Rattus norvegicus: one gene and its partners. The protein of the gene in region 1 interacts with the protein of each later gene in a pairwise test. Links are inferred from orthologs where the notes say so. Each region holds a gene or a part of one and is shown in the gene's direction. Other genes may lie near its edges. The genes, in order: Rap1b, Ralgds and Ralgdsl2.

What was found.
Region 2: the proteins of Rap1b (region 1) and Ralgds interact in binary tests that used the Homo sapiens proteins (3 or more experiments, as listed by UniProt). The link is inferred for Rattus norvegicus from reciprocal best matches to the Homo sapiens genes RAP1B and RALGDS.
Region 3: the proteins of Rap1b (region 1) and Ralgdsl2 interact in a two-hybrid assay, tested with the Homo sapiens proteins (2 studies listed by BioGRID and IntAct). The link is inferred for Rattus norvegicus from reciprocal best matches to the Homo sapiens genes RAP1B and RGL2.

What each region holds. Positions count from the first base shown.
Region 1 is NC_086025.1:55,314,700-55,318,343, reverse strand, and holds part of Rap1b (ras-related protein Rap-1b precursor), read left to right. Parts: intron 1-425; coding exon 426-494; intron 495-1,859; coding exon 1,860-1,916; intron 1,917-2,747; coding exon 2,748-2,888; intron 2,889-3,644. UniProt on the Homo sapiens protein: GTP-binding protein that possesses intrinsic GTPase activity. Contributes to the polarizing activity of KRIT1 and CDH5 in the establishment and maintenance of correct endothelial cell polarity and vascular lumen.
Region 2 is NC_086021.1:32,267,402-32,271,045, forward strand, and holds part of Ralgds (ral guanine nucleotide dissociation stimulator), read left to right. Parts: intron 1-12; coding exon 13-108; intron 109-792; coding exon 793-986; intron 987-1,233; coding exon 1,234-1,631; intron 1,632-2,332; coding exon 2,333-2,548; intron 2,549-2,720; coding exon 2,721-2,824; intron 2,825-3,186; coding exon 3,187-3,271; intron 3,272-3,644. UniProt on the Homo sapiens protein: Functions as a guanine nucleotide exchange factor (GEF) activating either RalA or RalB GTPases and plays an important role in intracellular transport. Interacts and acts as an effector molecule for R-Ras, H-Ras, K-Ras, and Rap.
Region 3 is NC_086038.1:4,955,263-4,959,456, reverse strand, and holds the start of Ralgdsl2 (ral guanine nucleotide dissociation stimulator-like 2), read left to right. Parts: upstream 1-1,321; 5' UTR 1,322-1,398; intron 1,399-1,601; 5' UTR 1,602-1,643; coding exon 1,644-1,799; intron 1,800-2,842; exon of another isoform or gene 2,843-2,976; intron 2,977-3,067; coding exon 3,068-3,151; intron 3,152-3,388; coding exon 3,389-3,567; intron 3,568-3,672; coding exon 3,673-3,723; intron 3,724-3,807; coding exon 3,808-4,105; intron 4,106-4,194. UniProt on the Homo sapiens protein: Probable guanine nucleotide exchange factor. Putative effector of Ras and/or Rap. Associates with the GTP-bound form of Rap 1A and H-Ras in vitro.

The sequences.
Region 1 (3,644 bases):
GAATTTAGCAAAGAACCACAAGACATGGGACAATAAGAGAGTGGTGGTGCATCCTGCAATCCCAGCACCTGAGGCTGAAGCGAGATCCAGTTAACAGCCTGCCTGGGCTACATGGGACTGTGTTTCAAAACAAACGTAGATTGACTTTCACTTTACTGTTAATAAGATAAACCATCTTATTTGGTCATTTTAAATGGCCACCTAATGCTATGCATCCTTATCTACAGATTTAAGCTGGGCATAGTGGTGCGGGGCTATAATCCAACACTCAGGTAGGAGAGACCAGTGTGCTGTATATATCATTGAGTTCCAGATTAGCCCGAGATCATGGTGAGACCCTGTCTCAAAACATCAGATAGGTAGAGTTTACAGACTCAGATTTGCTCTTCCTTTTGGAATGTAATGCTATTTTAATTTTTTTCCAGACTGTACAGTTTGTTCAAGGAATTTTTGTTGAAAAATATGATCCTACGATAGAAGATTCTTATAGAAAGGTATGTTACTTTTTAAAGGCCTTTTGATTTTAATACAAATGTTTAGATTTATTTTTAGTTTTCAATTATCAAATGTTTTATATAAATTAAAATGAAAAGATGTTTGCTAGTAGAAAATTCATGTGCTATTTCTTGTCATTGCCTGCCTACTACTGTCAGCGATTCATAAGCATTTATACACATGAGTGCATAGACCTTCTAAGTTTATTCTGACCTCAGAACTGTGACTTCACAGTGTCACTTAACACAGCAGTCCCATATTCCCAGGCCTCGCTTCAGTCGCTGGAGAGACAAAGCCTCGGCTCTCTTACTCTTCTGGAGGCGGCCTCCAGTGGGCTTCCCTTCCTTGCTACTTAATGCCTCCTTAAGACTGCTACCGCAAAAAAAGTGAGTCCTGGTGTTTGCTAACACAGCACATGTTAATAAAACAGTGTGTAGACATTTTAAATTTAACAGTGTGAGAGTTGTCCCTCTACCTTTCTGAAGCACCTGGCCCTCCATTGTGAAGATCAGCATTTCCATTTTACCACTTGCCTACCACAAAACTGGAAACTCTTTCCTACAACCTAGCTGTAAAGCAGAAGTAGTCGTTTCCTTCTGTATCTAATTCGAAATAAATTTCATTCCTAGAAAATGTTAGAAGGGATAACACGGGTATGTACTTCATTTCATAATTCTGACACTGCTTCCTTGCCTCCAGAAATTTGTGTTCCAGTATGATGAGACAGTAGATGTCTAGGGAAATAAAGGCATATCCAGAGTGCTAGAGGAGAGCTAGTGGGCAAAGTCACGCTGCACTGTTACAACTCTTGTTTTCCTACTTACCTGTTTTGAAGCCATTTCTATTCCAAAATTAGTGTTGAGCCAGTCTCATTGTGGCTGAATCTTCGTGACTTATTGGGACTTGGAGTTGGTATCTCACTAGAATTTGGGGTGCTTTGAAGTTGGATGACTGCATTGGTTGCTTTTCTATTGCTGTGATAAAACACTATGAACAAGGAAATTAAAGGAAGGAAGCATTTATTTGGGCCTACTGTTCCATGGGTTACAGTCCATCATGACAGCAGGCCACTGTCATAGCAGCATGCAGAACAGAGCAAAGCAGAGAGCAAGCTGGTCCTCAGCGCTGCACTCATCTCACCGCCCCAGCCCTCCCAGACAGCAGCACAAGTGGGAGCCATAAACTGGGCGGTTCTTACTAAGAACTGCTGTGGTGACTGAGTAGTCTTTAAGTACTGTTTGGTATTGCCCTGTAACGGAGTTCCCATAACTTCTTTTCTGTTGTGCTCTTTATTGTTGTGGATATTTTAAAGTAGTTTTACATGCATTAAAAATAAAGGAATATTTTAATTATTTTTTCTTCAGCAAGTTGAAGTAGATGCACAGCAGTGTATGCTTGAAATCCTGGATACTGCAGGAACGGTATGTAAAATAAAATTATCAAAGATATGCAGTGTATAGTACATACATAAGGTTTTTAAATGTTGCACTTTCTAAATGCAGTATATCAGTAACAAAGATTGTTTAAATGCTAGAGTGGAGATTTTCATGGTCTGTGGTGGTACTAGTTCATTTAAGACCGTCTATTACATATTTCAGATAATGTTGATAATGTTTGGGTGCACATTTATTCTTTGATGGCTATTATGAAATTGTTATGTTTGGTAGCTATCCTGGGAAGAACTTTGAAGTAACTATCAATTCTGTAATGAAATGCCTGTAGCCAACTAACTTTGTAAATATAGGTTTGTTTTGGTTTTTCTGGAGGTGCAAGGTCTAAGAACTGAATCTCGTGAGGCTTTGTTCCTGACAGAACCCCAAGATAGTTCATAACAAATGGCAAGACATAGGAACATACATACCTGTGTCTCTCCCCTCGTATAAGAAGCCGTTTCACCTAACAACTTTTTGCTTCCCAAAGACCTCACATGCTACATCCATGGGATTACTTTCTGCCCTCTGGATACCTCAGAATGAGGGTTAAATTTTGAAGCCTTTGGGGCTACTCAGTCATTGAGACCATAACAACCAATTAGGTTTGTAAGTATCCAAAAGTAAGGGAAGGATTCCGGGTACAAAAATGCCATACACAGTTCTTCTCCACAAATGCCCACACCCTAGTGAAGACCTGTAGAAAAAAATAGCTGTAAGAAGTGTTTGGTGATGCTACAGTATTCTTCATTAGGCCGTTAGTGTAGGTTTTCAATGATCTAACTTGGTATGAAAACAAGTCTTTCACTCTTCCTACTACAGGAGCAGTTTACAGCCATGAGAGATCTGTACATGAAGAACGGACAAGGCTTTGCGTTGGTTTACTCCATCACAGCACAGTCGACATTTAATGACTTACAGGATCTAAGAGAGCAGATTCTTCGGGTTAAAGACACTGACGATGTAAGCAGACTCCACAATGAATACTTAGATTTATTCCAAACCTCTAGTTAATATTCCATTTTAAAATTTAAATATTCACTCAGCTTAATTGGTTTTTTGAGACAAGAGTTTCTTGGTGTAGCCCTGGCTATCCTAGAACTCACTCTGTAGACCAGACTGGCCTTGAATTGAGAGATTTGCCTGCCTCAGTCCTCCAAGCGCTGGGATTAAAGGTGTCTATGACCAACATCCAACTTGCCTTTTTTTTTCCTATTTTTTTTTAAATAGTCTAAGTGTTTGTTGCTCAGGCGAGATATCCTGTCTGATCTCCGGATACTAGAACTACTACCTCCTAGCTTTGTATTGCCTATTTTTAGACCATGCATTTGTGGAGATGCAGCAAGGATGTGGGAGAGAGATATTAATAGAGCAGGCTGTGTGTGGCTACATTCACGGTAGACTTAACGGACTCTCCCTATAGTCCAGGCTGGCCTTGAACTTGGAGCAGGCCTCCTGCCTTCTCCCGAGTGCTGGGTCGATGGACACAGCCTTTTAAAGGAATATCTAGCCACATTTATCTCTGACCATATGTCTATATTATGTCTCTATTGAAAAAGGAACATAATGTTAAAGGAAAAGAGCCAATATGTTCAACTCTAAAACATTGATTTAGGGGTCCCTGCAGAATGAAGCATAATAGAGTCTGAAATCTATACATTTCAGAAAGATGGCTTTAATTCCCTATTACCTGTGGCATTGATTCTTAAGATTCTTTGA
Region 2 (3,644 bases), on another chromosome or scaffold:
CATCGTAAGCAGGTACGGTAGATGTGACGCCCTCACGGCCTCCTCTAGATATGGCTGCATCCTTCCCTACTCCAGTGAGGACGGCGGACCACAGGACCAACTCAAAAAGTAAGTAGGCTTTTAGTCCAGAGGGGAGGTTTGGGGAACAAGGGCTGAGCAAACTATAGGCCCCACACATCTGGTTCCTGCTGCTGGGCTGAGGTCTAAGGCTCTTCCTGTATCCGAAGGAAGATAGAATTCAGGGTGATACTGCACTTTCAAGGAGCTGAGTAGAGGGGTGTGTGTGTGTGTGTGTGTGTGTGTGTGTGTGTGTGTGTGTGTGTGTGTGTGTGTGTAAGAGAGAGAGAGACAGACAGGCAGGCAGACAGACAGAGAGAGAGAGAGAGAGAGAGAGAGAGAGAGAGAAGCAGTCACTGTGAAAATCCTTCCCTTGTATAGCCTATCTCAATAGACATGCAGCCTCACTCCTTAGGAATGGGCGCTTAGCTGGTCCCCGTGTCCCTCAGAAAAATGCAACCCACACCCAGCTCAAAAAGAATAGGTGCTGAGGTAACCCTCGCCGCTGGGTGAATGGCAGACTAGAGGACAGACCCTTGAGGCATCTGTGTTCCATCAGGAGTGGGGACGGTTCCCTAAAGAACCAGGAGAGCCCCCCATTCCATTGATGAGCCTTCGCTCTCTCCTGTAGGATCCTCTGTAGCCTCTGTCTAGTTACGTGGGTGGGGGCACATCAGGGTGCTGTGGGAGGATGGGAGGAGAAACCATGCCTCTGACTCTGTTGCCTGTCCCCAGTGCCATCTCTTCCATCCTGGGCACCTGGCTGGACCAATACTCCGAGGACTTCTGTCAACCCCCGGACTTTCCCTGCCTCAAGCAGCTGGTGGCTTATGTGCAGCTCAACATGCCTGGCTCAGACCTGGAGCGCCGTGCTCACCTTCTCCTGGCCCAGCTGGAGGACCTGGAGCCCAGTGAGGTTGAGCCTGAGGGTGAGGAGCCAGGGGTAGCTACACAGAACCTGCTAGGAGGGGTCAGTAATTGTTTCTACCACAGAGAGGCTCCAACCACTGGGCCAGGAGCAAGAGCCAGCCTGGGACCCACCCAGTGGGTAGTATACCATAGTCTGGGGTAGCCTCTTGTTGTGGGAACAGGGCTTTGTTCTCTGGCAGTTGGTGATTCTCTGTCTTGAAAATGCTCTGGACAAGGCTGCCATAGTGGACATCTTCTCTCCTGCAGCCCTGTCCCCAGCTCCAGTGCTGTCTCTGAAACCAGCTTCACAGCTAGAACCAGCTCCCGCCCTGCTTCTGACGCCCAGCCGAGCTGTGGCATCCACTCCAGTCCGAGAGCCAGCCCCGGTGCCAGTACTGGCATCCAGCCCGGTGGTGGCGCCAGCCTCTGAGCTAGAACCAGCTCTGGAGCCGCCCCTAGACCCTGAGCCAACCCTCGCACCTGCTCCAGAGCTGGACCCCACTGTCTCACAGAGCCTCCACCTCGAGCCCGCTCCCGTGCCCGCTCCTGCATTAGAGCCTTCCTGGCCTCTGCCTGAAACCACGGAGAACGGACTGTGTGCAAAGCCTCACCTACTGCTGTTCCCTCCAGACTTGGTGGCTGAACAGTTTACGCTGATGGACGCAGTGAGTGGCTCACGGGGGCGGGGCGGGGCAGGCCTCCTTTTGTCCTCTGCTGTCTAGACCTGTTTTCTGGTTCAGAGCCTCTGTCCCAGGGCAAGTCCTAGCTCCACTCTTAACAAACATGTGATTAGGGCATTCTACTTAACCCAAAGCATTGATTTCCCACCCCCATGGTGGTCATGAAGAGTGTGTGTGTGTGTGTGTGTGTGTGTGTGTGTGCGCGCGTGTGTGCATGAGTGCGTGTGTGTGTGTGTGTGTGTGTGTGTGTGTACACGTGTGTGGGGGTGCGTGTGTGCATGAGTGCGTGTGTGTGTGGGGGTGCGTGCGTGACTGCGTGTTGCATGCTGGCCTCTTAGGGATGGAGGAGTGCTTGCTGAGGTGTGCCTGGGCCACCCTCCTCCATTCCACCCCTAACCTCAGCATTGTGAAGTGCTTGCCGTGCACGGGAGACCGGGACACAGGGCAGGCTGTGACGTGCCCACTGGGGAGGGGCAGCAGATGCTCTCTGAGATGAGAGGCAGGAGCCACTGCTGTGTGTATGTTTCTTCTCCCCTTCATTTTTCCTACTTTGCCTTGCATTGGGTGCCCTCAGAAGTCAGGTGGAGGGGCGAGAGTCGCACAGGCTCAGACGCATCCTCACTCTTAAGTGCTGCAGCCTTTGCCTTGGGCTGTGCAGGGCCCAGTGACACTGATCCCCTCCCTAGGAGCTATTCAAGAAAGTTGTGCCCTACCACTGCCTGGGCTCCATCTGGTCCCAGCGGGACAAGAAGGGCAAGGAGCACCTCGCGCCCACCATCCGTGCCACTGTCGCCCAGTTCAACAACGTGGCCAACTGTGTCATCACCACCTGCCTTGGGGACCAGAGTATGAAAGCTTCGGACAGGGCCCGGGTGGTGGAACACTGGATCGAGGTGGCCAGGGTAGGCTATAGGGGGGTCCTGGGGACCTCAGGGCCACACAGCTGGCATGCACTCTCCTGGAACTGTACACTTGGGTGCTGTGTGAGCGTGTGTCCCTGGCATGCCCTCTGGGAGCTTCCTGCCATTAAGGAAGTTCGTCCATGGGCTCCACTCACAGACTCCTTGTCCCCAGGAGTGCAGGGTGCTCAAGAATTTCTCCTCCCTCTACGCCATCCTCTCTGCCCTACAGAGCAATGCCATCCACCGCCTAAAGAAGACATGGGAAGAGGTCTCCAGGTAGGCCTCCCCGTCCCCAACCCCTACTGTACCCCAAGCTGTCTCTGCCTTCAGTGAGGCCCAGCAGCAAAGATGGAGGGATGGGCCCACTGGTAGGCACAGCTCAGTGTGCACACCCTGATTAGAGCCAGGCAAGTGTCTCGTGCTTGCACACAGCCACAGAGCTGTCCAGCTAAAAGCAAAACACAGTTTTGCATACTCAGGTGGTCTTCAGTGGAACCACGTTTAGGATTCTTCTCCAGCAGCTCAGAATCTTTGCTGTACGGGAAAACGGGCTCCCCACCGTTTTGCCCTGGTACGCACCATGCTTGCCCTGGTGCACGCTCTTCCCAACCATTGCCTTCACTCTGTGCCTCCTCCAGGGGCAGCTTTCGAGTGTTCCAGAAACTGTCAGAAATCTTCTCTGATGAGAACAACTACTCCTTGAGCAGAGAGCTGCTCATCAAGGTGAGGTGGCAGCCACAGTGTCGGGGAAGGGGAGCAGGCAGGAAATGGCAGGGTTTCAGTTCCTCACTGCAAGCTTTTGGCTGACTTCCAGTCCTGTCAGGACTGGACAGGAGGGGAGGATGGCTTTGTTCCTTGGACAGGTGGCAGGCATTTGGTGGAACGGTAGGCCTCTGGTAATCTGATGTAGTGGGGACAGCCAGCCAGGCTGCTGCGGGAAGATGAAGCAGCCGGATTAGCAGGTCTGCAGCTTCCTGCTGGGCCTTAGCCACTGGCAGACCAATGGCCGATGGAAGAGGGGGCAACTTCCCTGAGCCAGCCCGTTCTGTCTCTGTGGTGCCAGGCTTGTCCCAGGGGAGAGGCTACCTGGGACGGG
Region 3 (4,194 bases), on another chromosome or scaffold:
GAGTTTCAGGTCAGTCAGGGTGTCGTAGCAGGGCTTTGTTGAGAGAACCAAATACAAGAACATATATTCACAGGTCAAGAAGAACCACTGGGGGTTGAGTGGTAGAGCGCTTGCTTAGCAAGCGCAAGGCCCTGGGTTCCGTCCTCACCTGGGGGGGGGGGGGGACGGGACACTACTGTATGCCCTAGAGAGGCGGTTCTTAGCCTGTAGGTCATGACCCCTTTAAGTCCATCGGGAATACCAGACATTTATTTACATTAGGATTCACAACAGTAGCAAAATCAGTTTCGAAGTAACAAAAGAATTTTACAACTAGAGGAACGGTGTTATAGGACTGTAACATTAGGAAGGTTGAGAACCACTGCCCAGGGAATTGACGATAGGGCCACATAGCATCTTAGCGTTCTAGGGACCTTTGGGACAACCCACAACAGTAGTCTAGAGACGAAGGGGTACATGTGTCGCCTATGGAGTACTAATGCCTACCTCTCCAGCCGTCCATTCGTACCACAGAGTTTCCTTTGCCTCGTCCTTTCACGAGCGTCCCCCGTGCAGTCCACCGGCTGTACTTAAAGGATGGCTGTCCACTCCTGTCTGCCGGGCCTCGTGAGCCAATAAAGTCTTTTAGAGTTTTCATGAGGGTCTCTCGTTCTCTGGTTTCCAAGCACAGCCAACATCTTGGTCCCCCTCCAGTCTTCCCACACGCGGGGCGATGACACAGCCATCTTAGGAACTGAGTGCGCTCTGGCGCACCGCGAGAGCCGGAGGCCGGGAGCGACGGACCAGAGTAAAACCGGAAGTGGCGCACTAGCCGACTTCCGTCCCCCTCCCCGCGCGAGTGGGCGGGCTTAAGGGCGGCTCAGAAAACTCGGCGCGGATTTGCTCCGCTGCACTCGTGCTGGCGCGGGTGGTGTCATTCTGGGGCCCCAGTAACGGGGTCGCGCCCTCACTAGGGCGCTTCCCTCGGGAGTTGCTGCACTCACTGCTCTCGTTAGAGAAAGTGATTTAAAATCCCGTACTTGCCCTCCCGTGGAGGCTTGAGACAGGACCCTGACCTCCCGCCTGCCTGTGCTGGGAGGCATGGGCTTCGGAATCCCCGAGTAGGGTAGTAGGGGACAGTGGAGTGGGGCACCTGGAGACTGCGTCCCAGCCCCTGGCATCCAGCACTCCCCTAGTCGGTAGCCCTGGCTCCTGTCCTCACTTCCTTCCCTTTTTGGCTCCTGCTGTCGGGCGGACGCGGGGAGGGGGGAAGCGGAAAGGGCGGGAGGGCCCGGGAGCCCGGCGGGGTGCAGGAGGGGGCATCGCGGAAAAGCCAGGGAGGGGACTCGGTAGAGGGCCAGAGACCGACAAGAACAGAGGCCCGGGACCCGCGCGCAGCCCCTCACCCTTCCCGAGCAGGTCAGAGCCGGAGCACCGGGTGACCCTGCCCATTCCGCAGTAGTTATGCCCCTAACCCCTAGCACGCCCCGAGGGCTCGGGTTTCCCTACTCCTGTATCTCCCCTCCCCCCCAGCCTTCCTGAGGGACTCCCACCCAGGTCCCTTCGTGCCCAAGTCCCCACGCCCGTCTGACTCCACCCCAATCCCACCCGTCTCTCCCCAGGCACCCCCAATGGCCCGACCCCGCTGATTCCTTCTCTCGGCCATGCTCCCGCGGCCCCTGCGGCTGCTTTTGGACACGAACCCCCCCGGGGGAGTCGTGTTGAGCAGCTTCCGGAGCCGGGACCCCGAAGAGGGTGGGGACCCAGGTGGCCGGGCCGTGGGCGGGGGGCAGGAGGAAGAGGAGGAGGAAGAAGAAGAGGTGAGACGCGGGTGGCGGGAGGAAAGGCATTAAGTATTTCTGAGACTCTTCTCTTGGTGTTTCTGGGTCCCTCGGTCTCTTCCTCCCTGCCTCCCTTTCACCCCGCCACGCTCTTTCTCTGGATATCTGTCCCCTGGCTGCGGGTCCTGGTGTCTCTGAAGTTCGCCCTGTCCGTCTGACTCGGAACCCGCCCGCAGGAACCTGCCGAGTTCCTGCCTGGAATGTCTGGCTGGCAGGCAGGATGGCTGTGCCTGCGGGGCTCAGGCCCCCTCTGCCCACACCTGCCTCTGACGGCTGCCACTGGGCAGTTAGTTGTGTCTTGGTCCCTGTCTCCCTCCTCGTTTTTGTTTGGCTGGGAGGGGTTTGTTTCCACAGTAACCGGCTCCTCAGACTCTAGGATTGGGGAGGGAAGCCTCTGGCTTCACCGCCTCTTCCCCCACCCCCTGGTGCTCAATAAAGGGCAGCGAGCCAAGAGGTTCTGGCACCTGGAGAGATGATCCCAGGATAGGTAGAGCGTGGTCATCTTCGTCCTTAGGGATTAGTAGTTGTGACTGTAGCTGCAGGATTTAGGGTTTCAGGAGGGTTCAGAAGTTAGAATCGGAGCCTGAGGACTCAGACTTCTGGGCCCCGACATTGGTAAAGTTAGGGTGACTGGCAAGGCTGGTTTTTCGGGATCGGTCGGGGGAGGGGCTAGGGCCACATGACTCTTAGTCTACCGCCCCCACCCCCCCATCATCCCTACTTCCCCTTCTTGTAACTGGGATTGGAGCCGCCACCTTCAGGGGGTCCCCAGTGCTGAGATTGAGTGGAAGCTGTATTGGGGATCCGGGGAAGGGAGTCTGCGGAATTTGGGCTCCTCTGGTTCAGTCAGGGAGGGCGGGTCTTGTGAAGTTTCAGCTTCAGGTCTCTCCGCCTTTGGCTTTGCGCTTCTTCGGGCGCTCTGCTTGTGACTTTGCACCCCGCTTTTCTGCTGTGTTGGGCTCAGCTGTGGGGGCAAGGGGATTTGGGGGCGACCAGAAGTGGGGTTCCTGCATTCAATTGAAACCCCGACTCCAACCTCTTCAACGGAGCTCTGAGGTGGCTAGTGGGGCTGTCTGAGCCCCAGGGTGGGGTAGACCTGGGGTCACCAGTACCCTCTACCCCTCGAACTCGCTGGTATTGTCCCCTGCCATCGCAGGTGAGGGGTGCAGAGGGAGGAGCAGGGCCTGGGGACGATGGCTGGGGACTGGAGGTGCTGTGGAACTCACTTCCTCTTCTTGCTCCTCCAGGCTTCTGTGTCAATCTGGGATGAGGAGGAGGATGGTGCGACCTTTACTGTCACAAGCCGCCAGTATAGGCCTCTTGATCCCTCGGTGAGATCATAAGCTTTGCGGTCCTGACATTCAGTTTTTAATTTGATTTTTTTTTTTTTTTTTTTGGCCAGAGCACTAGATTGGAGGTCTGGTAGCACTCTTGTGTGATTTAAGCCATGTCTGAACTCTGAACTGTGGAGAAAAAAAAAAAAAAAAAACTAGATCTGGACTATCCTAGATGATGTTTAGCAGTAAGATTGAGGAGACCATCAGTGAGACACCCTCCATGTTCTCCAGGCCCCCTTGCCTCCGCCTCGCTCCTCCCGAAGGCTCCGTGCTGGTACTCTGGAGGCCCTGGTCAGACACCTCTTGGATGCCAGGACATCAGGGGCTGACATGACGTTCACTCCAGCCTTGCTGGCCACCCACCGGGCCTTCACCTCCACTCCTGCCCTGTTTGGGCTTGTGGCTGACAGGTCAGGAGCCAAGGGTGAGGAGGCTCCTGGATTCCCTCTGAGTAACTCTCAGCACCCGGGTGGGGGCTGAAAAAGCTGCAAGGTAGACTCTCTCCTCCTTCCCAGGCTGGAAGCCCTCGAATCGCATCCTCCGGGCGAGCTAGAGAGGACCACAGGGTGAGTGGCCCTGTCTGAACCGCAGTCTGCTCAGAGGGAGCTGAGGCTGGACCTCTGACCCCTGGCTGGTTCCCCTTCTCTCAGGGTAGCCATCTCTGTACTTTCAACCTGGCTGGCCTCTCACCCTGAGGATTTTGGCTCTGAGGTCAAGGGTCAACTTGACCGGCTTGAGAGCTTCTTGCTTCGGACAGGGTATGCAGCACGGGAGGGTGTTGTGGGGGGCAGTGCTGACCTCATCCGAAACCTCCGGGCCCGGGTGGACCCCCGGGCCCCCGACCTTCCTAAGCCCCTGGCCCTTCCTGACGATTCCCCTGCTGACCCCACGGATGTCCTGGTGTTCCTCGCTGACCACTTGGCCGAACAGCTGACCCTGCTTGATGCGGTGAGACCTTGACCTTTGACCCCACGTACTCTGACCCCCTCACTAACCTCTCCTTGGCTCCAGATCCTTTTCTTGCTTCCAATTCTGGT